Lonchura striata: one gene and its partner. The protein of the gene in region 1 purifies or fractionates together with the protein of each later gene. This does not show direct contact. Links are inferred from orthologs where the notes say so. Each region holds a gene or a part of one and is shown in the gene's direction. Other genes may lie near its edges. The genes, in order: GLS and SIRT5.

Region 1 (15,015 bases):
TTTATCTGGCAGCTTTGAAGCCAATTCCCTGCAATCTATTTGGGGATACAAAAAAAGGCTACCAACCTTTTTTCAGAACTACTATGTGGGAAGAGCACTGTTCCTCACAGTTTTCTTTTCCCATACAAGCACTTATCCTGAGCCAGACTCAATGCCATTCAGGTGGGGTGTGCCAGGCATCCAGAGCCTGGCCAATCCTCAGGAAGTGATCAGCAGCATTCTATCACACAGATCCTTCTGCTTGTCCTGAAGACAGGGTCATTGGACTGAGCTGGTGGATGTTTCAGCTCATTACCTTCCTAAGTTAATGGTTCTTGTTACTCAAATTAGTACTGAGACGTAAATCAACCTTTTCATTCTTCTCTGTTAAATAAAGGGTAAAATCTTTATATTCAGGTTGTTTCTAGAAGATTATTACTCACTAGCATGTGGTTTCATTTATTAGTTCCAGTTCTAGCAATCATTAACAACTACTCGTAGTTTAAGAATTACTTCTTATTTCAAAGGGTGGAATTTATTTGGCTTTACACCAAGGCAGGTTCAGTAAACCCTGCTAAGCAGTTACCTTTCTCTTCAATCATACTTCTGTGTAAAAAGGCAATACATTCTACTGCTTGTGCTTTTTCAACTCTGGATTTCACCTTTACTGTTAAGAAAACATGTTCACATATCAAACAATGTAACTAACAGGCAAAGCAGAACAAATGAATCACTATTTAGGTTATTTTTTTTTCCTTTTAGACTATGCTTTCCCTGTTAGAATATATCAATCAAAAGACAGAAATACAACTTAAAAGGTAGATAACCAGAAGAAAAATTTGCAGAAATGTGCAAGGTGAGATAAACTGGCTAGAAGAATTGCATGAAAACACACATAATGAAAGTGCAAGAAATGAAACAAATGTAACTTCTTGATTAAATATGACTTGATAGGGCATGTGTCTTCCTATCCTGAGAGTTTGTAACTGCTGAAGTCATGATACAGTAAGTCAGTACTGGGGAGGAAACAGATAGGTGTCTGGATGATGTTTTCCTAACCATAATTATGTGAATAATTACATGTATCTGTTCTACATGCCTTCTGGCCCAAAATACTCAATATAGTTCACTTTTTATTTGTTGTCTTAAAGCATTTTTAGCTGAATATATCCTCCCTACCACAGCTGGGCTGCTCAACTATGCCACTGTTCTCTGACTCTGTTTTAGCAGAGCCGATCCTCAAATATCCAATGAGACTTTAGTCAAACACAGCACATATAGCAAACAGCCTGAAAACAAAACAAAAATTTCTATTGAATGGACCACAGTAGGGCCTATTAGATTTGTTCTCAAATTAGGCCCATGATGTCTTGGGTGCTTAGTGTAGCGTATTACAAGGTGACTTTCTATGCAATGATATGGCAGAATAGATGTTCTTGTAACTCCAGAATTTGTATTTCCTTATATCAATATAATCATATTGTTCAGCTAGACAACTGGTTTTGCCTTATGCTTTATTATAGGGGTGTCTAGAATTGCCCAAATCTCCATTTGTTGAACAAAGAACCAGGTGAAACTTTATCTAAATATCCCAAATATCCAAGCCACGTGGTCATAGTTTAAAAACTGCCTGTGACAGGAAGGCTGTGATGTCTGTTATCTGACAACATCCCTTTCCTGTAGTACAAGGCCAAGTGTACAGAGAGAAACAAAATTATCAGCATTTCTTGGCTCCCGCTCTTCCTTTGAGCCCTTCTACAGCATGCTAAGTTAAAACACCTCAAGACATGTTTCACAGCCTTATCATGTGAAACTCCTCTTTCTCAAAGCAGAGAATGATGACCTGTCAATTTGTAACCCAGCTTGTTTCAGTTCTGTTTCACAGCTCAATAGCTGTCTCAGGACAACTGTGAGGGAGTGACAAACCATGGCACGTGCATGGAAATGAGTGATGTTGCCACCAGAGTTCATGTCATGTTAGAAACACACCAATTTCCACATGACAACCCAGTCAGTTGAGATAAAAATCCAATTAATTTGGTCTATTACTGCTATGAAAATTATGCTGAGAGCTAAACATACTATTTAAAAGCTAGAGTTTCTTGTCTTGTATGTTTTCCCATCAGCTCCTGACTTCTGTGAGATTTGTTTCAAGCCCTGTCTGAAAAGATGGAGCCTTATGAAGCAGTTAAAGATGAGGTGAAGAAGTTCTGTGACAGCAGTTAATGTTACCAAAGCACGAATCTTTGGCTTCCGCAAGTGTTTCAAACACACCAAAAATACCATGTAAAATTTTTCAATGTTTTTCTTCTTGGAGTTTAGAATGAACATCCACATGTTTAAGCAGCAGACTAGTTATTAGGAAAAACATGTACTTAATCCAGACTATTTTAAAACCTTCATTGCTCTACTTTTTAAATCTTGGGATTCAGTTTTGCAGATCTGCGGTTCCCTGGCCTACTGTTGTGGAACTGTTCAAAAGTCCTTGGATAAACATTAAATACCCTTGGAGTATGAGGGTACACTGTGTACTACTGGAAGTGCTGCTAGTCTTTCTCCCTTTCACCTCCCTAAGAAAGTTACATGTTTATAAAGAGAGAATTAGATGTGGGGGAAGGATGGAAATCTTTCAAGGTTACATCCTTCAAGAACTAAAAAACTTGTCTGTTTTCTCATTAGTCTTTATGGGATCTTTTGTTTTTAAGCAAACAGAAACGTAAACACTCTTGCAGCCTGGAAGGAGACTGGCCACTCACTGCAGTTGCAAAGGAAGGCTGAGGACTCAGTCACCTGAAGTGTACATTGCTCTTCCCTCAGTGCAGCAACAGAAATGAGAGGGTGCCAAAAATATCAGGGCAGAAAAAAACATGTGGTTTTGCTGATCAATTTGCCATTTCAGAGGTAGTGGGATTTTGTTGATGCTGGCATTATACCCTGTACCCAATCAGAGTGGTTTCTATATACTCCAGAGGAGTCTTCTGGAAGTGGAAGACTTTTAAACTATTTGGACTACCACTTATGATGAGACAGTTTCTATTACGGTCTGACTGCTTGTTTTGCTTGCTTAATTTTACCTTGTTTTCTCTGCTTAAGACTGGATGTTTTGTCAAGTTTAAGGCTCTACATGGCCACAGGTATTTGTGAAAGGGCAAAACCAGGGCTTTTCCTTCATGGGACAATTTAATGTGATGCTCTTTAATGCTTTGGCCTGAAAGCTTGCATCTCTCCAAGGGTCTTTTTAATGTGCTGAAATTCAGAGCTGAAAGCAGCCAGCTTAGCACAAGGGGAGGATGCAGCACACACTGGCTTCTCCATCACTTCAGGGCTGAGGTGGCACATGCAGATCATGGAATGGGTTTGGGTTGGAAGGGACCATAAAGATCATCTCATTCCAAACCCTTCTATGGAGAGGGCTATCTTTCACTAGACCAGGCTGCTCCAAGCCCCATCCAACCTGGCCTTGAACACTTCAAGGGATGTGGCAGCCACAGCTTCTCTGGGCAACCTGTGCCAAGGCCTTGTCATCACAAATGAAGAATTTCTTCCTAGTATCTGATCTAAACCTGTTCTCTGTCCGTTTGAAGTTCTTCCTCTTGTCCTGGCTCTGTGTTCCTTTGTCAAAACTCCTTCCCCATCTTTTCTTAAGGCCCTCTAGGGGCCTAATAACTAAGGTGTTAATGATCAGCCAGGGACTGCCCAGTGCTGTGGAGCTTTATACATGACAAGCCAGCTGGTGGTCAGCCCAAGTGCTCTGACCTCCACCAAATGCTGCCACCAATTTTCCATGTCTGCTCTCAAGAGCTGCAAGACATGAGTCTATGGGCTCCCCTGAGCTCCCTCATGCGTGCTCATCTCAGGTATATGATGGGGCAGTTGGATGACGTTGTCACTTGTTTCATTTTGCTTGCACAAGGTTACCTAGGCTGATATTTGACTGGGAATACAAACAGAAGATTTAAATTTGCTCACACTCACTGGCCTCTGTAAATATCAAGGCTGTAGTTTAAGAGATCTCACCAGAATTAAGCATTAAATGTGACTGTGGGTGGAATGCATGGGGTATGTAGCACTATGATTTAGATATATTGTAGAGCAAATAACATGCAGTGTGCTGGATGCAGCAAGGAATGCTTTTCTGTTAGCTTCTCAAGGTGGATGTTCTGAGGTGTGAAGAATCTTACATCTGAAAAACACTATGACTGATAATGAGCATGAGGAACAATGGTGCCCTCACCAAACAAGATGAAAGGAAGCAGGTTAACTAACAGAGTAATGGGAAAAAATAGTGTCAGTCTTTGCAGGTCATCCTCAATAACTCTGCTTCTGTAATTTGCTTGCTCTTGCCATGTATGCTAGAACACATCATATGCTGTCTGCTAACCACGCTAGAAATGTCCTAGGCCCTTGTAGGCTTTTTCCATGACAGTCTCAGAAAATCCTCCAAATATTCTTCCCTTTGAATTAATCCCTCACTGTCTCTGTTTGCCTGGAATGTGAGTGATATGAACTGAGCTATTGACTCATCGATGCGCTATGCAGGGAGGGCATTTTTGATTTTATTTTTATTGTTTTTCACTTGAGGTCACTCCCTCAGCCATTACTTTCCAGTTAAATAAATCCTCTGCATGTTTTCCCTCCTTGTTGGATTTCTGAGCTACGATGCCCAAATATTTGAACATTCATTTTCTTAGATTAAATAGTAACTATTTACTACTTATGCTTCTATGGTCAGAGGAGACTGTTCTGTATCCTCTGTACAATCCAACGGGGAATGTTTCTTGTGACTGAGCACCTTTCCCTTGAATCAATATAGAAATGTTACCCAAAGGTGCAGCAAGTTAGCCTCACAAAAGAAAAGAGTATTCTTAGGAACTGCTGCTAGAATGGGTAGAAATACTTGACTAGATAATAGTTGTCTCTGGTCCTTAGTTCTCTTCTGGAAAGCATTACCCCCTAACAAATGAAATGGAGCCAACATAACCATTTAAAATAGTAAAGTAAACAGTTCATGTCGTAGTCAAGATAATCCTTAATTTCTGCTGCTTATCTGAGATCTGCCCTGCTGATCTGATGGGAGGATTTAACCTTCCTGAAAGCTGTTATCAGTGTATGTGCTTGAACTGGGAAGACCTCTTTGCACCTGCTTTTCAGAGCCCTTTCTCCTAGGAGATTAATGCTGCTATGCCCCTTTTAGAAAGGAAAACCTCTGAAATATGGATTATTTTTAGAGAGCTATACAAAGAATATTTTGCTACAATACAGCTTAAGGAAAATACTTTAAAATAATGCCTATTTTAAAAGACCCTCTTTTTTTTTCTTTCCTGAAGAACCTTGTTGTTTTAAATTAAAATAATTTTTGTTTTACAAAAGAACATGTATAGTTGTGGAAATTAAAAAGAGAATAATTGGCTTATGGTTACTGCTGGTTGTGTAACCAACTCAAAATAAAAGCTATGGGGAATTTTAATTTCAAATTTCTTTGCTCTGTGTGGAAACCATTTTGTAATTTTCTGTTTCTCTTGGGATACTGTGTGAAACACAGAATGGCAGAGCAGATGGCTTGTCTTCTCTTTCCAAAGAGACAAGTAATATCACTGTGTTCAAAGGAGAAATCTAAAGGGGGTTTTGCTGGGATATGGGAAAGCCCAGTCTAACATCTGGATCAATACAAAAATCAGTGTCAGTTTAACAGGTTTAAATGTATAATGCTTTTCCCAAGCAAATGGTGGTGGTTTTGATGCCGTTTTTACTACATTTCTTATTTTAAATTGAAAAAAAAAAAAATCTGTCTTTAGATGAAGACTCTCTGGTATACCTGTGCCAGTGGGAGGATGGGAGAGAATCAGTGGGTGAAACGTCTCAGGCTTAGTCATAGTAGGAGCAAGGAGTGATGGCCTGAATTATGCAGCAAAAGTTCTCAGAATAGCGAATGAGTCACTATTGCCCTTGAACTTTCTGGATCTGAAACTATATTTATCATTTTGCATTGTTCCCAAGCTGTGTATTTGTAGTTCCACACACAGAGCAACTTGCATTTTCTGCCCTCACCAGTTAAAAACACAGACTGGGGAATTTCCAGGGAGAGAAGTCGAGGATCAATTTCTTTAAGTGAGTTTTAAGAAAAGCTTTAATGAAGAATACTTGCAGTGGGAGATGACTAATATAGTAATGTGAAGGTAGTATTAACTAAAAGGTTAAATACAGGAATAAGGCAATAGCATACAAAATAAAAAGAAAAAAAAATGAAGTGAGTAAAATTAAAGAGTTCCTGTAAGGTCAAGTATCATGGGGTACTGTTTTGAGAGGGAAATACTTTTGTGAATGCAGTAGCTTTTTCTTTTTCTTCCCACCACCTTATCTGAAATGTTCTGAACAGAAACCAGAGCACTAAAAGGAAAGGTCCAGATAATTACATTTTTCATTCTTCCACTTCTTCTCCCCCTACAATATAAGAAATGAATTAGACTAGTTTTTGCACCAGGTTGTGGCTAAACAGCTGGCTTAGAAAAAAATGCAGCTGTCACACTGACAAACAACCTTGACACTAAAATTCTGAATCTTGTAGTGTCTGCAGAACTATGTTCAATTAGTGACCAAATGCACAGTCTGGAAGAGACAGTCTTTGGTCTTAGAACAGCAGGCTCAGTAAAAAAAATGGAAGAGGTGTTTGAGAGACTTCTATCTTTAAAGCATTTTACATAACACAATTTTTAAAATGAGAAATATTATTATTGGGCAGCAGGATAAAAGAGGCAGTATTGGTTTGCCAAAAAGGACTTAGCAAATGGAAATCCAAAATCAGTTCCAGGAAATATAATAGGTAACGTAATAAGTATGTGAGAAATGCAGGTACTTTGCATTTTTGTATGTGAAGTTACTGCAGCACAGGATTACACATCCCACACTGGTATTTCAAGTTTCCTTGATCAGTGGGAAGCAAAACCATTGATGTGTGGAGGCTCATTTTATAGGCACAGATTATCAGCTAACTTTATATCTTCTTCCAAAAACCCTCATGGCTGTTGTGACAATTTATTAGCATAGGGAAATCCTGTGGGTATTTGTGCTGCCGGGTAAGTAGAAGCACAAGGCAAGACTAAACTCCATGTCTATATGTAGTTATCTCAGAGTGCATGAAAAATGGGTAACAGAACCTTCTCTGTTTTATGGGGGTCTTTACGAGGAAGTTACTATACCTAGACAGCTGAAACTTTCAATCTGGGGGGCGGTGGAAAACAAAATATCAGTATCTTCAGTGTAAAACATTTCAAAGAAAGTGTGTAGCAAGATCATTTTAACTCAGAATTGCAGCTTTTCCACCCCCACCTCTGCCAAACATAATAAACATACCAGATGAAATAAACCTCAATGCATGGGGAAATTGTTCACAAGGAAATTTAGCAGTAATAAACTCACAGCTCCATAAGTATTTACATTTTTGCTCTGAAAATTAAGATTCCTAAGCTGAGAAGACTAGGGACAATTAAAAAACTGGTTTGCATGTTGGCATTACTGAGGAAGTAGGATAACAGGAAATCTCATCTTCTACTCTTACCCATAATGGATAAAATTTGCTGATATAGATTTATACTCATCTAGGACAAATTTAGCAGTTGGTGATGTGAGTAAAGTTTCACCAAGTAACTGCAAAATCTGTGACTTCTAAAATGCTATATCCTGACAGCTGTGACAGAAGCTTAAGTGTATAAAAAGAGTGACATTTACACTTTGTGCTGAAGCCCTGCAGTTATTTTCTGCTACACTTTTGCTTTTAAGACTTCACAACCATGGGTCGGTGGCTCCCAGACTGGGACTGGAGGTGAGCAGCAGCAAAATTTCCACACTCTGATTAAATGTTTGATGATGTGAACATGAAGAATGGCCACACCCAGATCACCTAGGCAGCCAGGTGGTTGCTTTTTGTGGGTTTGTGTTGGGTTTATTTTTCTCAAAACCCAAAAACTTCAGACATTTGACCAAGACTTACAGCCTCCACTGTAAGTTTTAGCAATGAGCCATGCAGTTACCCTTTTATTGAAAATACTTGGAAACACCTTAGTAGCTCTGCTCCTTGCCGGAAGCGTTTGACCCAAAAAATGTGGAAACAACCATTCCTTCCAAGGGCATTGCCAAGAGGTTCCTGTTCCCTGAGCCCTTTCCTAGGGTGCCTGGTGGGTGACGCAGGCCCTGTGCATCCTTCTCTCTTCTCCGTGGTGACCAGTGCAGTTATGGCAGAGGTTTAGGCTGGGTACCAGGAGAATCTTTTGTTTCACGAAGGATGGTCGGACAATAGAACAGGCTCCCCAGGGCAGCGGTCACAGCGCCAGCCTGACAAGAGTTCAGCAAGGGTTCGGACAAGGCTCTCAGGCACAGGGTGAGGTTCTTGGGCCGTCCTGTGCAGGGCCAGGAGTTGGATTCGAAGATCCCTTCCCACTCGGCATATTCTGTGATCCTGCCGGCACGGCAGAGGCGGTGCACCTCGTAATCAAAAACATACAGTTTTTAAAAATGGCCATATCCATGGCAACCTGAACCCGACACCGCCGCAGCCCAGCCCGCTCCCAACGCCTTTACACGTCGCGGAGCGAGGGAGGGAAGGAGGAAGGGAGGAAAGGAAGGACGGAGCGAAGGAATGAGGGAGGGAGGCGGCGCCCCGCGCCCCTCAGCGCTCCGGCTCCGCCCGCCGGGGGCGCTGCTGCTCCCGCCCCGCCGGCCGCGCGCCACACCAGCGGCCCCGCGGGGAGACGCGGCCCGCGCCGGGGGCGTGGCGGCGGCCCTGAGTGACGTTCCCTCTAGCCAATGGGCGCGCCGCACGCCTGACAGTTAGGCGGGCTCGGCCAATGGAGCGGTGCGGGGGGCGGGCGCGGCGCGGCGCGAGAGGCGCGGCCGGGCGGCGCGGCGGGCAGTCGGCGCGGTGGCGCAGGATGATGCGGCTGTGGCGCTCGGCGCTGCTGCGGGAGCTGCTGCTGCTCGGCCCGCCGGGGGCGGCCGGCGGCGGGGCCCCGGCCCCGGCACCCGCCGCCGGGACCCGGCGCCTCCAGCCGCCGCTCGCCGCTCTCGGCGCTAGCCCGCCCGCCGCCCGCCGCGGCCCGGCGGCGCTGCCGTCAGCGCGGGGTCTGTGCACCCGCTCGGAGGGAGCCTTGGAGGAGCCGGGGAAGGGGGCGCAGGCGCCGTCGCCGACTCCCGGCGAGACCCCCGCCGACAGCGGCCACAACAATAACCACGGCGGCGGCGGCGGCAAGGAGGTGGCCGTAGGCGGCGGCGGGGAGAAGTGAGTGTGGAGGGGGCGGCGGGCGCGGGGGATGATGCGGAGGCGCCATGTGAGCGCCGCCTCTCCCCCGCACGCGTGGTGCCTGCGGAAGGGGCCGGGCCGGGCCGGGCCGGGCCGGGCCGGGCGGGCGGGCGGGCGCTCCCCCGGCAGGTGCGGGGATCCCGGGGCTGCCGGGGCCCTTCCCGGCCGCTCCCCGGGTGCCGCGGGCCCGGCCGGCGGCTCGGAGCGGGAGGGAGGCGCAGCCGCGTGGCGGGGGCCGTGTGCGCCCCCCGGGGCTCCGCTCACCGCGGCGTGGGGCCGGGCAGCGCCTCGGGCTTCCCCCGCACCCCCGGGCGTCCCTCCGTGGGGAGGCCCGGCGCAGGTGCTAGGGTGGCTCTGGTAGCGCTTCCACTTGGCTAAAAATATTTCTTAAGAGAAGCGAAAGCTGTGTCATCTCGCATTAATTATTAAAGGCAGTGTGCATGGTGCGTAGTGCTGCCTTGGAAGTTTTGCAGTGCTGTCTTCTCCGCCTCTGTATCCACACGGATGCGTTCCTGTGTAACCTGCCCTGGGGTGACCCAGCCTTGGCAGGGGCACTGCGGACTGGGTGATATCCAGAGATCCCTTCCAGCCCTAGCAATTCTGTAATCTAGTGCAGCCAGAGGCACACACTGCCATCCGTACGTGGTGAATACAGGTGTTTATAGGTGCTGCAGGATGCGTGCCTGTGCCGAGGTCCTTACTTGTCCCTTAGTGACATAGGTGTGTGCACGTAGTAGAAGGATAAGGCTGTATATTTCAATGAAGTTAATACTCCTTCATTCAGAAACTGAAATACTTCTTAAAAAAAAAGAACCCACAAAACATCAGAGACAGGTGTATCAGACTGGTTAGTGGATACGGGGGGGTTGGGTATAATGATGAGGTAAATAGTTTGGCAGAGCATTCTTCTCTGTTAGTCTTCAGCATTATGCAAGTCTTGAGTATTCATTTCCTACCACCCCTGCTAGGCTTTTTGAACCTGGGTACATTTAGAATCTCAAATAATCTTTTACCAGAAGTTTGACAGTTTAACTACAAGCCTCATGAAGACTTCTGCTTTGTATATGTTTGAAATGTGCCCCATGGTATTCTTGTAGGCACCCTGTGCACTGATTATGGGGTGGCATAATTGAAATTAAACCCAAGCTGTTTTCCCAGGCTTTGCTATGCTTATTACCTAGATGAAAAGAGCAAATGATAGAAGAATCAGGGCTGAGAAAGGAATACCTTGTTTTGATGCTGAGCAAAGTCTCTATTAGTTTGAAAATGATTCTACAAAGCCAGTCAGGAAGGCTTCAGCCCTTAGCTTGTTAATAGTTCTGCTTTTGAGTTGTGGTTTGTAGGGTTTATTTTAGCATGAATTTCAATATGGCAGGTGGGGAGAGAGGCTGTGACCTTGTTCTTCTCTGCCTTTTCCCCCCAGATGCGTTAGCTACTCAGCCTGCTTTAGTGGGGTACAGCCTGCTTTAAAGGCATCACCAGTTACTTCTGCTGTCAGATGCCTTAAAAAATGCATGCCCGTCAGGTTATGTAACTGTATGCAATATAATACACGATCATGATGGGTATTATTTTTAAATTTATGCTATTCAACAAATGCGAAGTCTCCTCCTTGAATTAGCTCTCTATATAATGTTTTGGAACAAAAAAAGTATTCTTCTATAGTCAAATAGTTGTGATTTATAAAGACTGCAATTCTGTTTTCAGGCAGAAATACACAAAGACGTTAAAAACTTTGGAAAAAAACAGCACGACAGCTGTGATGGTTTTTGAGGGTATTGCAAAAGTGATTTATTGAAGAGGTGACATTTTCTTAAACTGAGCTGTTATTAGCTTCCTACAGCTAGCATCGATTAGGGAAATTATTTAATTTCTAACATGTGTGGTAAAGCTACCAGTTAAAGACTTTTAATAATTTTTGGCTTTTGACAAAAGGATGTGTTTGAAAGTTAGATGATTGTTCTTTAAATCTTACTGCAAAATGAACAGGGAGAAATGCTGTAAAACATCTAGCATGAAGTTACAAACACAGAAAAAGCTAGAAACTTTCTTTAATTTCAGGTTGTGCAGGAATTCTTGGTGGTGCATTAGTCAGGCTGCTGGATACTTTCATTCTTACTTTTCTTGAAGCAGGACTCTGATAATCTTCCTTCAAGCATTTGTAAATGGTACATCCCATGTGGAAATCATTGGTATATTAATACAGAGTACAGGGTTGAGTAGAAAAGTGAGGTTCTTCAAAAGACAGGTGTCTGAACTGCATTGACAACTGGGCTAAGTCTGTGCAGTCTGTATTCTGCTGATTCCAGCACTTTGCCATGCATAGTGGCTTAACATTTGAGTGGTGTTTGACAAATGGTTTGTGGACTCAACTGGCAATAGCCTTTTTCTTTTTTAGTTAGTGTTGGTGGCTATTTTTTTTCCTATTTGAATATAAGGTCATGGTTCTGGTATACTGAAATAACCCATTATGTCAAAAGACAGCAGTAAGGTTTTCCTGTTGATTTGCTTTTCTAACACTCCTTGTGTACAGAGTAGGAGCTGTGAGTAAAAGCCTAAAATGTTCTGTGCAAACACTACAGAAATTGAGCACAGTTCAATTTTTCATAGTGAGAATAAATTTTGAGGTCTGTGGCTGATGAAATAACTAGTATCCCATTGCATAACCAGATCCTCTGGTGCATTTTTTCCCTAACATCTTCCACTATCTCCTTATCCTTGCTATCCAGCCTTCACACTGTGTATCCAACTGAAACTTAAAGGAAGAATAATTGAGTTTAAACTGAGAGTGGTCACAGACCAGTAAATTTAATTAACAGGATTAAAACACAATGGTATCTATGCTCATGCCTGCGTTACTAAAAAACAGCAGCCTAATACACTCCTAAGTTATAAATGTGTGTAATATTTTATATGCTTTATTCCTGCTTTCCATGTAACTCTTCTTCACTTGCTTTTACTTTCAGTGTAAGAGTTCCTCTTGCATCTTGTACTGGACAGTTAAGGGATGAAACAGTTTATCTTAGTAGAAGCTATTTCTAAATTAAAAAGGCCTTGATTAAGGTGAGAGGGAAGAGCAAAACGTAAGTGATCCTAACTTTTGAAAGCTAAATTGCTCACTTTTTTAGCTAGGTTGCAATAGTGCTAGATGCTAGTATATAGAATATCATCAAACAGTTACAGGAAGTGTTTTTTTTTTTTTTTTATGACAAGGAAGTGGTAGTGCCCTTTTTTAAGGGCAGGGATGAATTCTGAAAATTTGCTTTTGCAAGCCAGATAACAGAGGAATAACAAGTAACCAGGCAGTGTTTAATTTTGCTGATACTTTTGATGGAGTGTGGATACAATATTCAGAGATGCCAGAAACAGGCGTGCACTTTCATTAGACCCTTCATAACTTCTGTAGAGGCCAAGGTTTTGAAGCTAGAGGTTTTGTTTTTTCTTTTCTCACCAGAAGCACTTTGTTAGCTACTAAACATGTTTATCTTTGGTCTGAGTTTATAAATATGTAGTTTGCTCTTGCACCTTGGTAGTTCCTGGGTGAATAGCTGCCCACCTCTGTTATGGGACCAGTGTCTCACTATAGGAGTGGACAGAAAGCAGTTACTTACTGACTGGACCAGTGTTGGAGATACAACCAAGATATACAGCATCTGTAGCATGGTGACTTCTTCAAGGTGCCTGTCTTAGTCAGAGTGGCTGCTGACTGTGACTTGTAGCTTCCACAGAATCCCAAAATAGTTTGGATTGGAAAAGACCATTTAAAGGTCACTTAGTCCAAACCCCCCTCTGCAATGAGCAGGGACATCTTCAAGCAGATCAGGCTGCTGTGAGCCTCATGCAATCTGACCTTGAATGTTTCCAGGGGTGGGGCATTTACCACTTCACTGGGCAGCCTCTTCCAGCATTTCACCACCCTCACCATAAAATTTCTTCATTATATCAAATATAAAGTTGCCCTCTTTTAGTGGAAAACCATTACGCCTTGTCCCATTGCGACCCTGCTAAAAGCCTGTCCCCATCTCTTATAGACTCACTGTAGGTACTGAAGGGCTGCAGTGAGGTCTCCCAGGACCCTCCTCTTCTCCAGACTGAGCAACCCTAGTTCTTTGAGCCTTACCTCTTAGGCTGGAGGTGCTCATCCCTCTGGCCATCTTGGTGGCTTCCTCCAGACCTGCTGCAGTGGGCTGGTGTCATTCCTGTGCTGAGGGCCCCAGAGCTGAGTGTAGTACTCTCTGTGGGGTCTCAGCAGAGCGGAGCAAAGGGGAGAATCCTCTCCCTTCACCTGCTGTCCACACTGCTCTGGATGCAGCCCAGGAAACATTTGGCTCCAAGTGCCTGTGCCTGGGTCGTGTCCAGTCTCTCCTCCACCTGCACCCACAAATCCTTCTCGGCAGGACTGCTCTTCATCTGTTCTTCCCCCAGGCAGTGTTGATTCCAGGAGTTACATGGCCCGGGTGTAGAACCCTGCACTTTATCTTGCTGACCTTCACGAGCACCTGAACAAGCTTCTTGAGTGTGTCCAGGTCCCTCTGGATATTGGCCCATCCCTCAGGCTTGTCACCTGCACCACTCAGCTTGGTGTCATTGGCAGACTTGCTGAGGCTTCATTCAGTCTCACTGTCATTATCATTGATGAAGATCTTCAATGGTTCCTGAGGGACCATTGTTTTGTGACAGTAATTGTAACCTCATTTTTATGACTGGTGTAATATTTGTTAATAACACCTGAAACTATTATTAGCAATATCATATTTTAATATCATTTGTTGTTCTGTAAATCCTGTTCTACATTTTGGCAGTTCTGTCCTGAAGTACTGAGTAAGAATCTTCCAAATCTTCCACATTATTCGAAATTTAATCTTGTTTTTATTCTAGAAATTCAGCATCTGTTAAAATGAAGTCCCCCCACCCCAGAATCTGGTGTAGACATTGTACTGATGGAAAAGGAGGAACTGAAAGAAGGATTGCAAAATCCTTGTGCTTGGAATTCCTATGTTGGTTTTTCTTTGTATTTTAAAAAACAGTCCACCAGTATTGTAGTACACAGATTAGTATACTGCCAAAGAAGTCTAGTTGTTTAATAGTATTTTTTTTTTTCAAGAAGGTAAAGAAATATCAAAAGTCATTATTCATGAAATAGGTGAACTGGAATTTCCACTTAATTTGACTGTGAAAATTGCAAGTCCCCTGACCTGAAAAACAGCTTTTTGCATGTGTGGAACAGAACTATCTTGCTAAGTGTGTTCACAGTGCCAAAACACATCTTTTAGGTTAAGCAAACATTAGTTACTGACATCACTGATCTGATAAACTGCAGAGCAAGCCTTTTCACCCCTATTTAGCTGATAAACTTTACCAAAAGATGGACTATTTGACAAGGAGCAATTTTCTGTAAATGTATTAAATGTCATCCTCTTTGCTTTGGTTGTCTGTGCAGCCCCGTTGTTTAATTAGGCTGAGTGACCCATATTGAACAACAGCAGATGTGAAAGATAGGAAAACCACGTTGAGAGATTTTCTGTGTCAAAGGTACACATCTCTTTAATAGATTAAAATCTTATGAAGAGGCAGGTAAAATCTTGCTTAAATGGCTGAAGTATTTTTCTGCATCTTTTCAGACAGAATTCCATACTTGGAACAGCTGTAAAATTAATTGCTCAGAAATGTGTAATTAAATAGGTTATCAGTTAACATTTCTCAGTGTATTTGCTGGCTAATTTTGCCAAAGTGAAATAGGAAAA
Region 2 (14,904 bases), on another chromosome or scaffold:
TCAAATGAGGAATCTTGCAAGTTTCAAAGGAGACATAAAGAACTCTTATAAAAATACCTCTTGGTCTCAAGGGGACATTTAACTAGTATTGACTAGAAATACTTCTTTCATTAAATATTTATTAGTTTGGAGTTCATATGTAATCTTCATATACAAACTTTAAAAAGTGTATTTAATAAGCTCTTAGTTTTTAATGTTTAAAAACACTCCCAAACTATAAGGTTCTGCACAGAACAAAACTTAGTTTTGCAAAAATAAAATTGGTAAAAGGGAAGCAGTAAGCAGAATGATTGAGAAAACATCCCTCAGAGATGAGCAACTGGTATCCTGCAATATGCAAAAAAGATGCTTTGCTTAAGGCTTTAGTGCTTGGAAGGATATTCATAGTCTCAATAAAGGAAGTATTATTTTTTTTCTTCCAAAGGTAATGTGGATTTCAGATGTAAGTAGCAAGATTTTCAACAGTATAAATAATACGCAGTAGTCTTACATGACATTTCATAACACTATTGCTCCTCTTCAGAGAAATAAATAATTGCAAATTAAAGCCTTCATGCAGATTCTGTATGAGAAATAACTCTGAAAGAGTGCTGTGAAAATTAGAAAGCAAAGGATACCGAGACTTTACGTGAGCAGATATTAATAATCTGAAATGTGGTTGGATTTGTCAGATATACTTAGACAAATAGAAATGTCCTCTTCAGATATTGATCGCTAATATTATTGAAAATATTGAATAATCTTAAAAGTCTATCCTGCATGGGTAATACTGAATTATATTTCCTATGAGTTTGCTATGAGTTTGAACATGGTAAGAATGGACATGAGACCTTGTTACAGATAAGGGCTGTCTGACAAATGGGGAGAGGCTGGAATACCTGGAGCTGTTCAGCCTTAAGGAGACCAGTCACAGGGGCATTTTATCAATATATAAAAACACCTGATGGGCCAAGGCAGAGTCTTTTCAGCAGTGTCCAGTGATAGGACATGAGGCAAATCAAAACACATGAGATTCCATATGACCACAAGATAGAACAAGAATACACTTTTTCTGCTGTGAGGGAAATGAGTTGTGCAGAAAGGTTGTAGAGATCTCAAAACTCACCCAATTGGACACTGTCTTGGACAACCTGCTCTGGGTGACCCAGCTTGAGCAGAGGGGAGATTGGGCTAATTGGCCTCAAGAGGTGCCTTCCAATCCAAACAATTCTGTGATTATTCTGACATGGGCAAACTGAGGAAATCTTATACAAAGTTATTTTGAGCAGTCTTGGCTATTTTGAAGTGAGGAAATATTTTCAAGAGGATGTTTAAACTGATGTGTTGGTATTCTCTGGTCATCTGGTTAACTGTTCTGCTTTTCCTTTTACATTGGTGAATCACAGCAGGTGTCTGAAAATATCCAGGTGCTTCAGATATCACACAGGATCTGCCTTGATCAGAATTTGAAATCTGTGATGCAGATAAAGGAACTGAGAAATAATGGGGGCTACAGTTTCTTTAAAGGACTTCAGCAGTTTTCATTTTTCCTAAAATAAAATTATTTCTAATAGACATTTCCTGTAAACTAACAATTTTTACTATATATGTATGAGTATACATATACCTATGTTTATACCTGCATATCTATGTGTAAATGAAGACACAGATGTATATAAAAAAGGAAGTACTTAAAAAAGCATTCATGTGGAGTCCTGCCTGCAATATTTTATCTTGGAGGAGCAGCCCTACCATGTTGACAGAGTCCTTCTCAGATTCATCTTTACAGACTGAAGTTCTCAGCTTCAGATGGAGTCTGTGAAAGCCACATCTGTGGTCTGGTCAGGGTGGATCCCCACACATCACCAAGGAGAAAATCAGGGAGGCATCTCCAAATTCTATTAGGGTGATTAGTGTCACCTATTTCCCTCCAAACACAAACACGTGTGCATAGAAATGCTTCCTTGAAGATCTGCTGTAATATTTTATCTTTTTGCTTGTATATTCAAACATCCTGAACATGTTCACCTGGGGTAAGCAAAATTATTTAGCCTTGCTGATATCAGGTTAATAGAAAATCCCACTGTGCAAGGTTGTTAATCATCCCAAAGTTTTTAATAACCTGTATTGCAGCAGGGACTTCTTAAGGCCTTTACCCTTCATATTTGTGTTTATCTTGTTAGGTAGTGAATTAACCCTATAAAATACCTTCAGTGTGTTTAATTAGTCTAAATCATGGGGAAAAAAGTTTGTGTATCAAAATAATAATTTTCAATATAAAATATTGGTTTATATTTCCTGAACTATTTAGAATTTATTTTCTAAAAATTGAGTAGCTCAGTGTAGATAGGATACATTTCCAGCAGCTCTTTTCAATGAGAATAAAGAATATTAAAGGTATATATTTCTCTATGCTCAGAAAGATAAAATCAAGGATGGTTAGTTTATTTTGGAAACCTCACTGTCACAGGTTCCTAATCCTAATTCCTCTTCTCATTTGCAGGACTCTGAGGAGGAAGACAATGAGTTGGAGGCCATTAATAAGAAACTGATAAGTCCACAAAATTTTCAAAATTTCCGCCCTTACGTACCGGAGGAGTTTGCTGACTTCAGTATTTACAATGCTAGCCTAGAGAACAGGGAGTGGTTTTCCTCTAAATCAGACTTCATGAGCTCACGTGTTCTTGAGAAAGAGGTGTCCCGCAGTCCTACCACTAGCAGCATCACTAGTGGCTACTTTTCCCACAGTGCCTCTAATGCCACCCTGTCTGACATGCTTGTTCACTGTAGTGATAGTACAGACCAGCTAGCCAGTCACTCCAAGGAGCTGGACTCTAGTGATCCCTCGGGATCATCCCTTGAACATGATTTAAAATCTTCTTTGAACAAGGAATGTCGAGAATCAGAAAAGGAGTTATCAAGAGAGAAGTTACCTGTGGTACCACTGAAAGGAAACAGTGCCTTAACAGAGCAAGTACCACTGTCATTCAGTGCCGCTGACAGAGACTCTCAGCAGCTACCCAGAGCTGGATCCCTCTCAGCTCTAAGTTCCTTGGATGGCAAAAACACCATCGAATTTTCAGCATGCGAGGTGACAGTTGAGCACACGATGGACGTTCTGGAAGATCACTCCTTCACTGAATTCATGGGTGTTGAAGATGGGAAGGACTTTGACCATTCAGCAGCTCCACAGTTGTGTTCCCTTCTGTCCTCTAATGGAGCGAGCGCCTCGGAGTCACCCCGAGGCCCTGGCAAGGGTCAGAGCCCATGCACAGGCCAGCAGAGCTCTGCAGCAACACCAGCTGACGGCTGGCTTGCGGATGCTGTGGAAAGCCCTTTTTGTTCTGGACTGGTGAAAGACCCTTCAGACCCTGAGACTTATCCCGATGCTTCCATGGACGATTTTATTATGAAGGACCATTTGGATGGTTCTGATTGTGAAGAAGGTGCTTCTGCAGATCAAGCCCACATCTTGCCAAGCTGGGTGGCTGTGGGCGAGCAAGTCTGTGTTGGAAGTAATAAAATGGGCACAGTGAGATACGTTGGAACGGTGGATTTTTCAGCTGGAATATGGGTTGGAGTTGAGCTCAATGTTCAGCTGGGTAAGACTAAATGTGTTCTGGGTTATCTATGCAGCTAGTATGACCAATTTTTAAAGTCATAGTACAAACATTACTTCCAGTTCAGTCATGGGAAGTACCTCCAGTTTCAGGAAGCTTGGTATCTGATACACCCAAATCACAGCTTTCTGGTTGTAGAGATGCTCTGATCCATTTTTAATTGTCTAAAAGCTCTGCTTTTGCATGTTGTGGTAGTTCCCTGTTGGTACCCATCTGTTTTTACAGATCAGAGAAACAATGTTTTTTTAATAAGTGTGCACACATTCATGAACAGTACTAGCAGTGTGCATCACTTGTCAGATAGGTTTGCTGTCAGTGACTTTTAGAGATCTATTGTTTTCCACTGGGGAAAGATGAATTCCAGAACACAGGCTTTCTGTTACTTCATTTCAGAGGGGTCAGAAAAAGTCAGTGCTCTGCAAGTGTTAACAAACTTCTACAGAAATGGTTCAGGTCATTTAAAAATATGTTTTTAGTAGTTTAACAGGTAATATCACTTATTTGTCTCCAGCTAAATTTTGAGCTTTGCAAGCAAAGTTTATTTTGCAAAATGAACACATGCTTGGCTTTTTAAACTATTAGTTAACAAAGCAATATTTTAGAAAATCATCTTTTTGGTCACATTTTAAGCCTTCCTTTCCAAGTTTTGTTCTCCCTAGTGTATGGTAAGCATCTGGCTCTGTCACTCAGCAGGAGCAATCTTGACTATTTGACAGAAAATGAAAGCTATTCACACTTCATCGCCTCAATTGTATGTGTTAATGGCAGCACCAGCATTTAATCCTGTGCATTTCTTTCCATTGAAGGGAAGCACGATGGAATTGTGAAAGGCAGAGAGTACTTCCACTGCAAACCACGACACGGTGTTTTCGTTCGTCCCGGGCGCCTCAGCAAAGCACCAGCTCCCGCAAGGAAATGGAGTAGCACTTCCCGTTCTCAGGCACCTTCCAGTTCAGAGAAACGGAAGAGTTCTGTGCTTCAAGGCTCATCAGCCACTCCCAAGACAGGAGGAGACGTCCTCTGCCATTCAGGAGATGCAGCAGCTTCTGCTTTTTCTAGGAAACAGGAAAACAGGAAATCTTGGATTAACTAAACCACAGTATTTTTGCACTTACTACACGCGTCACTGTGTAGAAAACTTTATGGATTTTTGAAGCTATTGTACATTTTAACCTGTCCATATGGAATGTGTATTCTCTAGAGTCCTTGACTTAATTCTCTAATTTTTTATAAATAATATATATATTATATATATATATGAATGTGTATCTATAGATTGTCTGCCAGTAGGCAGATATGGCTGCACACTAAAACACAGTTAAAGCTGATTGTAGATAACTGAGGTACTGGACTATTTGTTACACAACAACTTGGGAGATATATTTTAAACAACAAAAGATATTTTATTGAGGAAAAAACAGGATGTGAATCCATTTTGGAAAAAAGACCCAACCGCTGTTCTTAATTACCAAAGAACTTGTTTTAGACTGACATATTTGCTGTTTATATCTTTCTATTGTAAATGTTTTAACTGGTAACTTGGTGCCATATTCCTTTCAGTCACTGGGCACCATGCAGCCTTCCATGTTTAAGCACACTGAAATATCCAACTGCTTCATATGTTTTGTCTTCCTTGAGGCCTGCCACTGTGCTGACTTGGCATTGGAATGACTGATGATGCCTGAAGCTATGAGTCTGGCATTTCACATGTTAGCAAAAGCCAGCTGGGCAGTTTGACTGCAGAAACAGTATTACTCCAAGGGTGTGAGAGGACAACATTCTGGGTTTTTTAGGGGTTTTAGTTTTTTTGGGTGCGGGGTGGGGAGAAATGGGAAATAAAGAAGCAGTAAATGGATCATGACTGCAGACTTTGCACTTGTTACTTGCTGGTTTATTATCAAGATGAAATAGAACCTGCTAAAGTAATTTTAATCTGTAAAGTTTATTTTAATAATGGAAATGATGGAGGGATTTATGTCTGGTGCTTATGAATTCCTAAGAAGGTTGTTCCACATGTAGATACTGTAGATGCCTGTACAAGTGTTCTGGATATTTGTAAAGCAACATGGTAAAAAATGAGTGAAGTGAATGGCCTGCTGTATCTTTTCTTTGTTCCTTAGCAAGTGAATGATTGAGATACCTGGGACCTTACTGAAAAGCTGCTGTTCTTTGATTGTTGTGTACAATAAGCGGACTCTCGTATTTTACTATTTACTGTAAAGACCTGTAATTTATATATTGCCATACTGTATTTAATTGGTGCAGACCTGTTGTGTGTTAGAATACAGACTGTTTACTTGGGATTTAAAAAAAATGTGTTACTTGTGTTCGGTACAATTAGGCTTAATGCTCAAAGAGGGAGCTGTTTCTAGCTGGTGCTGCTCAGATGCAAAGGACTTGGTAAAAATGCTGAAGGCTAGTGATGTTGGAGTGGAAGACTAGAGGGTATGAACCTCTCTTACCACTGAGCCTCAGAGAAGAGCAGCCCCTTTGAATACACATTCCTCACCTTCTGCTTTCCCTGTCCTTCCCAGGAGAGGGAGCAGAGGTGGAGAACTCCTGCCAGAGAACAGAATCCCGATGGTCAAGGGGAGATGGGACAAGTTCTTGGAAGACAGATAAGAGAGGATCATTGCTAAATATATAAAGGCCCCAGCCGCTGGCATCTGGGAGGGCAATGTGCTGGAGGAGGCAGTGAAAGGAGGGGCTGTGAAGTTCAGTGTACTTGCCCTTGCCATGGCTTTTGTCCCTTCTAAGACAGGATTCTTAAGTGTTAATTGATTTTGAAATGTGTATCTTTGCAGAACAGTTCATGCTTCTGGTGTCCACCTTGAGTTGCTCTCACTGCATTAATGACACTGCTGCTGAAGGAAAACTACTGTAATAGAAAAAGATTTTATGCAGAATTATTTTATTGGGCACAGATGATTGTGGAATACTGCCAGGTATCAATGGCAAACATGCCAGCATCTTGAAGTTAAGTTTAGATGTCACTTTAATATTTTTATAAACATTTTAGGAAATCTACTTACACATTGGCATTAAAATATTTTTCCAGGATCAGTACAAACAATTTGGAAAATCAGTGTGGCCATTTTCTTACGGCACACATTCAGTAGTTACACCAGGTTAGCAAATCAGCCAGCATCATCTGGGCTATTCATTGTTTCAGGCTTTGGAAACACTGGGATAATTGTGCTCTTGGAGTAGGCATTCTGTATATGCCAAAGAGACGAAAGCAAGCCAGCCTTGTGTCCTTCTGTACCCATTTCACAAAAACTATGCCATGGTGAATTCTGGTTTTATTAAAAAACCTGTACTTTTGCAAACCTTGCAAGTGAACATGCCCTGACCTGGGTTGATGTAAAATTAGGAGCACAGCTGACAGGTGCAACAATGTGATAGGAAGATGAAAGCTCTTTGGTTGATGTGCTCCTCAAAATTCTAGTACAGAAACAGAATCTTTTTTTTTTTTTTTGTTAGCGATGTTAGACTAGGATTCTGCTGGTTTGAACTTTGGATTCAAAGTGGAAGAAAATTGTGGTGATAGTGCAACTGCAAATTGCTTTTTTTTTTTAAGATTAAGTAGCAGCTAAAATACACTGCCTAATAAGCACAGTGTAGCTTATTAGACAGTCTGTACAGTGTACAATCTGTAGCAAGATGTCAATTAAAAAAAAAAAAAACAAAACACCAATTATGATAATGAATAACGTTATGCACAGCCAATCCCTCATTCAACAAATCTGCCATCCTGTTTTCCCAGTCTGCACAGAATTAATGGATTTTGACATCAGGGTCGTTAGAATGCTAAGTAAGATCACGCTGGCTTTCAGCTTGTTTTCTGAGTTTATGACGCGCTGTTTTTCCGAGCACGCTTACTTTCCTGGAGACACGGAGGGCTCGGGGAGCAGCTGTGACAGCCCACCAAGCACCAGCACAAGCGTTTAGTCAGCAGCGCTCGCTGTCAGCATTCCCCCACCAAAGGCTTCCCTCGAGTTTGCAGCTGGAGGCAGAGTACGAAGCGCCGGTCCTCTGTAAACAGCACGGAGTGCCGTGGAGCAGTGTAACGGGGGGTGTCGGCTGCCAGCCCCTGGGAGCAGCAGGGCTGTTCCTGCCCTGCGCTCGGGCGAGCTCGCTCAGGTAACTCGCCCTGTGCCGGCGGCAGTGGGGAACCGGAGCTGCCCCCGGCGCTGGACAGCCGGCAGACTCGAAAGAGCTCGGGGCTTGCTTTCAGCCTTTCCCCTCTCTGGGTACGTGTTTTGGGGGCCTCTTCATCTGCTTAGCTGGTCATTTACGGAATCCAAAGGGAAGGGAAAATGTGGCAAAACCTCTGTCTGAAAAGGACCGCAATGATTAAGGTTGTTGGGGAAGGGTGGGGAGGAGGCGGCTGGATGAGAGCAGGCGCTGCCTTCTTTATGCACCAAAACATGCTAAAAACAGTGTTTCCTCATTAAAAAATAAATAAATAAACTGTGTGCTGTCCAAATGCAGCGGAGTTCTCATGCGTGAACTGCGAACGGCCACGGGCGGACCGCAGAGAGGAATGACGCTGGAAAGCCACCCAGCTTCCCTGACCTATTTGCGTCTCATTCCAGCTGATACGCTCCGGCAAGGCGCAGGGACAGCGCAACGCCGGGGAGCGACACGCGGCTGCCTCCAGTGCATCCATCCACCATCCCGTAACGCCGCGGCCTTTCCCCCAGGAGTGCGGGCGGGACGTGCGGCGCCGCAGGCCCGGGGCGAGGCGCCGCCCGGGGCGGGGCGCGGCGGGCTGGCGTGAGGCGGGCGGAGCCGCGAGTGAGGCCCGCGGCCCCGCCTCCCCTCACGGCGGCCCCGCCTCCCCTCACGGCGGCCCCGCCTCCCCTCACGGCGGCCCCGCCTCCCCTCACGGCGGCCCCGCCTCCCCTCACGGCGGCCCCGCCTCCCCTCACGGCAGTCCCGCCTCCCCTCACGGAGGTCCCGCTTTCCCCTCACGGCGGCCCCGCCTCCCCTCACAGCGGTCCCGCTTTCCCCTCACGGCGGCCCCGCCTCCCCTCACAGCGGCCCCGCCTCCCCTCACGGCGGTCTCGCTTTCCCCTCACGGCGGCCCCGCCTCCCCTCACGGCAATCCCGCCTCCCCGCACGGAGGTCCCGCCTCCCGCACGGCAGTCCCGCCTCCCCGCACGGAGGTCCCGCTTTCCCCTCACGGCGGCCCCGCCTCCCCTCACGGCAGTCCCGCCTCCTCTCACGGCGGTCCCGCTTTCCCCTCACGGCAGTCCCGCCTCCCCGCACGGAGGTCCCGCCTCCCGCACGGCGGCCCCGCCCGCCCTTGCTGCCCCTTCGCCCTTCTGCGGGCCGGCAGCGGCACGTAGGCTCGCCGCCCCCGCGGGTCCGTCCCTCGCCTTTCCCCTTTCTCTTACCATGCCGGCGGGTCCTGGGAGCCGCCTCGGGTTAGCAGCGCAGCTCGGGAGCGTGGCGTAAGTTGAACGTCGGCCGAAAGCCCCGCTGTGGAGCGGGGCTGATGTGCCCCGTTCTGAGCAAAAGCGGTGACCCCGGCCCCAGGGTCCGGGCTGGGGGATGGCTCCGTGTTCTGCAGGTGCAGGAGGAATTCCGTGTTCGCAGCTGGTTCTCCAAGGAGAGCCCCTCACGGGGAGCTGGCAGAAATGCGCACCCTGCCTGGGCCGCTGACGTTTGATTTATTTCTCCCCAGGTGAAACACTTCCGAGGGATCCCGATGTGTCTGTTCCAGTCTGCCGCTAGAAGGCTGGTTCCCCAAGTGCGTTGTGGACTTAAGGCCTCGTCTTCAAAGAAGTTTGGCTTGGAAATGGCCCGTCCTAGTTCAAGTAAGGCGTGTATTTGTTTGCTTTAGCACCCCGGACAGCTTTTTAAGGTGGATTTGAAGTGCTAGAAGGTGTTGTGTGCTAGGTGAAATCCATGGCTTAATTAAAAATGTTTAAAACAGTTGAGGTTGCTTTATTTGTCTCCCAGACTAGTAAAATTACCTTTCTACGACTGTATTCTGTATAGTTCCATAAACTGTTACAGTCATCATGGTTACAACATAAACACCTTTTTAATGTTTATAATTTATGCACATAAGTATGCAGTGGTTAATTGCATTTCCCTTTCATAATGCTAATGAGTAATAAAACTAATTCCTCATTTCTTTGTACAAGAATGGGCCTTGAGTATTTGTGACAGTTCAGGAGCTGGGTAACCCCAGGAGCCCTGTTCAGACTGGGAGTTAAGGCTGACCTCTTTTCACCTGTTTGGGGGTGTTTTGGTTTTGTTTTTCAATTTGACAATGTGCCTTAACTTGAAAACTGCACACAGGTACAACAGCTACTCCCTAATGTCAGGTGGTCAAGGCAAACTTGCTTTTTCTGCTGCCTTGAGCATCAGGATTTGGCTGCTGCCAGACACCTGTCTGGGAGGGCTTTTGGCCTGAGCTTTACACATCAAGGGCTTGTGAGGTTTGGTTTGCAGCAGCAGGTGGGGCATCAGAATAGGAGTGTTCTCTGCCCAGTCCAGGGGCTCTGTACTGTGGGTCTTTGGGACCTCTCCAATGGCTCTTTCTCCCTACAGGAACTTACCTGTCTTTGGGTGGGCTTTTGTGTGTATAGGGGGCAGGGGGTAGTTTTGATTTCTATCTGAAAGACCACCTAGTAAATTGTGAGGATTAGGGTTGTGGCGAGCAGCTCAAAGCTGGAGGCTGCCCACTCATGGGACACCATAGGGAATCCATACTGAGGTCACTGTTGTTAAACACCTTCATTAATGATCTGGACAATAGATTGGAGTGTATCCTGGGCAAGTTTCCACATAATATGAAGCTGGGAGGAGTGGCTGGTACTCGGAGGGTCCTGCCCCTGGGAAGAAATAGACCCAGGACAGGCTTGGGTGACCAGCTGGGCAGGAATGTCCCTGGGGATCTGGTGGGCACCACGTTGGCCTTAAGCCAGTGATGAGCCCTTGTGGCAATGATGGCTCCAGGGCAATGCATAAAAACACTCCATGGTGTTTGTCTGCTGTGAGGTGGCCAAACAATGGATTGAATTGTGCAGGAAGGTTATGGAGTCTCTGTCCGTGTCCATACCAAAAGCCACCCCACAGAACACTGTCCAGAGCAGTCTGCTCTGGCTGACCCTGCTTAAGGAGAGGGGGTTGAACAAGACAATCTCCAGAGGTCCATTCCCACCTCAGCCATTTATTTTGTGATTCTAACCTGTGTTGCTTTAAAATTCATATCTGAGGTAAACTGCAAAATATATTTTTCTTGTCTGTCTGCAGCTAACCTGTTCCTCTTTAATTTTGTCTTGACTCGCATAAAAAGGCAAAGGAAATTTTCAATCTTTTTCCCAAACTACCATGCAGGGGAAAGTGGTGGGAATAACACATTAAAAAATATAAAATACAGTTGCAAATCTAGAAAACAGAAAAAATGCCTCAAAAGAAAGCACATTTTCCCAAATTACCTTAATTTTGAAGGTGATACTTCATGGAGAAAAAAAACAAACAAAAACAACAACAAAACAAATGTATTTTTTTTTATCTCAAGATTTTAGTAACAATTGGGAAGCAAACTCTTCCTGGGTGGTGGTGCCAACAGTTGTTATTGGGGTAGCATCTAATGTGGGGTTTTAATTAAAGACTCTGCCTTTCCAGTATTGACTATAATAATGTTTAGCACATCCTGCCCTACTGAGCCTGCTCAGACACATATTTTGAGAATCTCCAGAAACTGCCCTTTAAATTACAACATAGAGAAGTTCAGGAACCAACTGTTATTCCAAAATTAAAGTCATGGGAGGTGTGTATGGAAGTGTGAGTGTGGCCTCTTAGGTGAGAGTGTGAGCGCCTGAACAGCTCCTTGTTTTCTCGTTTCCCTGCCCTGGCACAGACATGGCTGATTTCCGAGAGGTGTTTGCCAAAGCCAAGCACATCGCCATCATCACCGGAGCCGGGGTCAGTGCCGAGAGCGGTGTCCCCACCTTCAGAGGGGCTGGAGGCTTCTGGAGAAAGTGGCAAGCCCAGGTAGGTACTGGTGGCCCATGCCTCTAGGGCCACCTCTGTGTCCGTCACACAGGTGAGCATGGAGGGTCAGGAACAGGTGGAGGAAGAGGGTGGATATTGTCCCATCCAGTGCAGCAAGGACAGAGCTCTCCCTACAGCTGCCCCTGCAGCTCTTCTCTGTGCTCTTGGGGATCTGCTTCTGTCCTTCAGTTTATCAGCTGCTTGGGAAAAACAACATTCTAGCAGGCAGCTCTGGGTCTTTAAACCATCCTTGTTTTCCTGCAGTTCAGCTTTTTGCTCATCTTTTGACACCCTCACTGTTTTCCTACTGTGTGGGGCCTTTCCTGTTTTAAACTCTTTAGCATTTAAAACAAACCAAAATACCAAAGGAAGAACTGACAAAAGAGACTGGCTGTTTTCTTTTAATTTTGGTGTCTCAGAACACCCTTTAAAAATGCTTTAGGACTTGCTTTATTTTAGGGCAGGTTCTTTAATTCTCCCACAGGCTGTCTCTCTTGCTGTCATGATCTTGCCAGCACTGAGAGCCACAGGGGTGGGAGAGGAGGTGGGAGCAGGCACTGGGACTACAGCTGAAGGCACCAACAATGTGAGCTCTGTGGGGGCTTCATGACTCTCATCCTGCTGGTGCTGCAGGTGTTTCAGCAGCTGTTCTGCTGTCACTACCTGCTACCCCAAATGCTGCAATCACACCTGCTTTCTTTGTGGTTTTTAATTACAGCATTCCTGAAAGATCCTGATGTAGCTAAAAAAGTGTCAGAGACATTAATTTTTGAAACTGGTTTGAATCTAAAGATGAGTTTTTTGCTTTCAAGTGATCATCAATTCAAATAAAGCATGTGTGTGTTTAAATGTTTGGTCCTGCTGCATCAGAAACGTGCATTTAGTTTCTGTGTCAGCAGAATTGTGCACTGAGTTACTGGACTGAGCTGCACCTCGTTTTTGAGAAAGAGAAGGCAAAATTAAAGTTAGTGTGAAAAGCAGGTTCAATTTTACCTGCATACAGAATACAAGATGTTAGACTTTGGTTTTGACAATGGATATAATTTGGCTTGTGTTAACACTTAAATTAAAGCAGAAAAGAAATTCCTAGCAAAGGAAATATATTCACATGATGCTGTGTTTTGTGGCTGCTGTGGAAAAGAGAGTTGTGGGTGTGCATTGGAGTATCTCATCTTGCTTTGTGCTAAGCTCCTAATAGTTTGGTAGGTCAGCACAGAGTATGGTTGGAGTGTAGTGTAAACCCACATACCACACTATTTCTGTAAGTTATTTGCTCTTTTGGTCTGACACTTTAACGTGTCACCCTTGTAAGGGCTGTGGACAATATTCTTATCAACTGCACGTGGTTATAGGTAATCTGCTTTTGATGACCTTGTGATGCAGGCAGCAGTATAAATGGCAGAAATCCAGCAGGCTTCAGCTGGGGAAGGGATTCTTCTTTCGTTGTAGGACGACTGTTATGTCTTTTGCAGGAGCTGGCTACTCCAGGGGCTTTTGCACGAAACCCTTCCCGTGTGTGGGAATTCTACCACTACCGGCGGGAAGTGATGCTGAGCAAACATCCCAATCCAGCCCACATTGCCATTGCAGAGTGTGAGAAGCGTCTCAGCAAGCAAGGAAGGAGTGTTGTGGTCATCACTCAGAACATTGATGAGCTGCACAGGAAGGCAGGCACCAAGCAGCTCTTAGAAATCCACGGTAAGAGTTGGGTCACGTCTGCCATAGGCCAGGAAACCTGGGGTGGGGAGTGGGAAGAAGGGAAAGGGAGATAAATACAAAGAGAAAAGAATTTTGTCTTATAATTACAATAACTTGCATAAAGTTATTTGCAATAACACCCTGTTCTCTTCTAGAAGTTGTTTCAGGTACTTCATATCTTCTCTTTGTTCCTTACCTTTAGGATCACAGAATCTCATCTTTCTGTTTTTAATGTATTCTGACAGTACACAGGAACTGGTTCTCCCTTTTTGCTTGCAGTTTTCCACCGATCTGCTTGAATGCATGTGGCTGTCACACCTGGGTGATTTCACTTAGAAAAGGGGAAAAAAATCCCCAGTAATTCCACTGTGTGGTAGTGGTGGTGTCAGACTGCCACCAACAAAGGGTGTATTGGAAGCCTGGCTTCATCAGCCCTGGTGCTTCTCCTCTGTCCTGCTCTGTCCTGTCCTCACTTGTGCAGTCCTTGGCTACAGGAGGACAAAGGGACTGGAAACAATTGAGATTCCCTTACCTTTCTTTCCTGCAGCCAATGGCCCTCCCCTTCTCTTCCCTGTAGTCAGTGGCATTCCTTACTCCCACAAAGTGCCAGAAGAGCACATGCAGATGCAGCACCTGGGCATCAGTGGGGGTTTGGGATCTGAGGAGATGTACAGGTATGGAGAGAAAGAGGGTCTGGAAGCTCTTCTCCATCCTTGGAGGTGACTCCACTCATTTCTCCACTCCTCAGGCCCTGCCACAGGGTGGAAGTCTCCCAGGACAAAGATCCATCCTGGTCCTCCAGCACTATGATGCTTTTTAACTCGAGTATCACTAAAGGTGTAAATGGAGTTTCCCACCACCACTTCCATGCTTTGGGCACAGGAATCCTGAAACCTGCACAAGCTGTTTTGCAGTTGTGGACCAAATGATGAAGCCTTGGCAACAGTTTAATTTTGGTTATTTGCATTCCTTACAAAATGGACACAATTTTTAGCTCTTGGCTATATTGCCTATCTTGATGGCACGTTAGTAATGCTACAAAAGTTTTGGGAGAGGAGTTTCGCATCAAACAAAAAAGGTGTTGACCAGCGTATTTTGTTTTAAGAAATTGTTTCTGATGTAAGAGGAAAACCAATAAACAGAAATCATCCCCCTCAGTGATATTTTAAATTATGATTTTCCTGCAAAATATGTTACGGGACTGTGTATTACTCATGTCCTGAGGCAGAACAAGGTGACATAGTGGAACTTTGCTGTTGCATTCCTTTTTTAAGTTACCCACAAGGTGCAGCCTTCAAGGTTTGTAAATAAAAGCTGCCCAGGATAAACACAACCACTTGCCTGCACAGCCACACCTCAGAGCTTCATCCCTGATGTTTCCTCTTTGTGTGTTACAGGTAGTTTATTTAAAACTCGGTGCACCAGCTGTGGAAACGTGGCTGCGAATTACAAGAGCCCAATCTGCCCCGCATTGGCTGGGAAGGGGTAATCCATTCTTTCTTTTGCCATTAAAAAAGGAAGTGAGCAGGGAGATGGGCCAGGCATATACACAAAGAATTTTTAGGATTTTTTTTCCTTTTACATTTTACCA

The links.
Region 2: the proteins of GLS (region 1) and SIRT5 purify together in Homo sapiens (affinity purification with western blotting; 3 studies listed by BioGRID and IntAct, with this or other methods). This does not show direct contact. The link is inferred for Lonchura striata from reciprocal best matches to the Homo sapiens genes GLS and SIRT5.

What each region holds. Positions count from the first base shown.
Region 1 is NC_134610.1:30,519,521-30,534,535, reverse strand, and holds the start of GLS (glutaminase kidney isoform, mitochondrial), read left to right. Parts: upstream 1-8,903; coding exon 8,904-9,250; intron 9,251-15,015. UniProt on the Homo sapiens protein: Catalyzes the first reaction in the primary pathway for the renal catabolism of glutamine. Plays a role in maintaining acid-base homeostasis. Regulates the levels of the neurotransmitter glutamate, the main excitatory neurotransmitter in the brain.
Region 2 is NC_134603.1:88,961,047-88,975,950, forward strand, and holds the start of SIRT5 (NAD-dependent protein deacylase sirtuin-5, mitochondrial), read left to right. Parts: upstream 1-8,886; 5' UTR 8,887-9,058; intron 9,059-9,291; 5' UTR 9,292-9,315; coding exon 9,316-9,424; intron 9,425-11,481; coding exon 11,482-11,615; intron 11,616-13,087; coding exon 13,088-13,313; intron 13,314-14,710; coding exon 14,711-14,798; intron 14,799-14,904. Other genes in the region: kinesin-like protein KIF13A, read left to right, coding at 2,483-3,581, 4,406-4,692. UniProt on the Homo sapiens protein: NAD-dependent lysine demalonylase, desuccinylase and deglutarylase that specifically removes malonyl, succinyl and glutaryl groups on target proteins.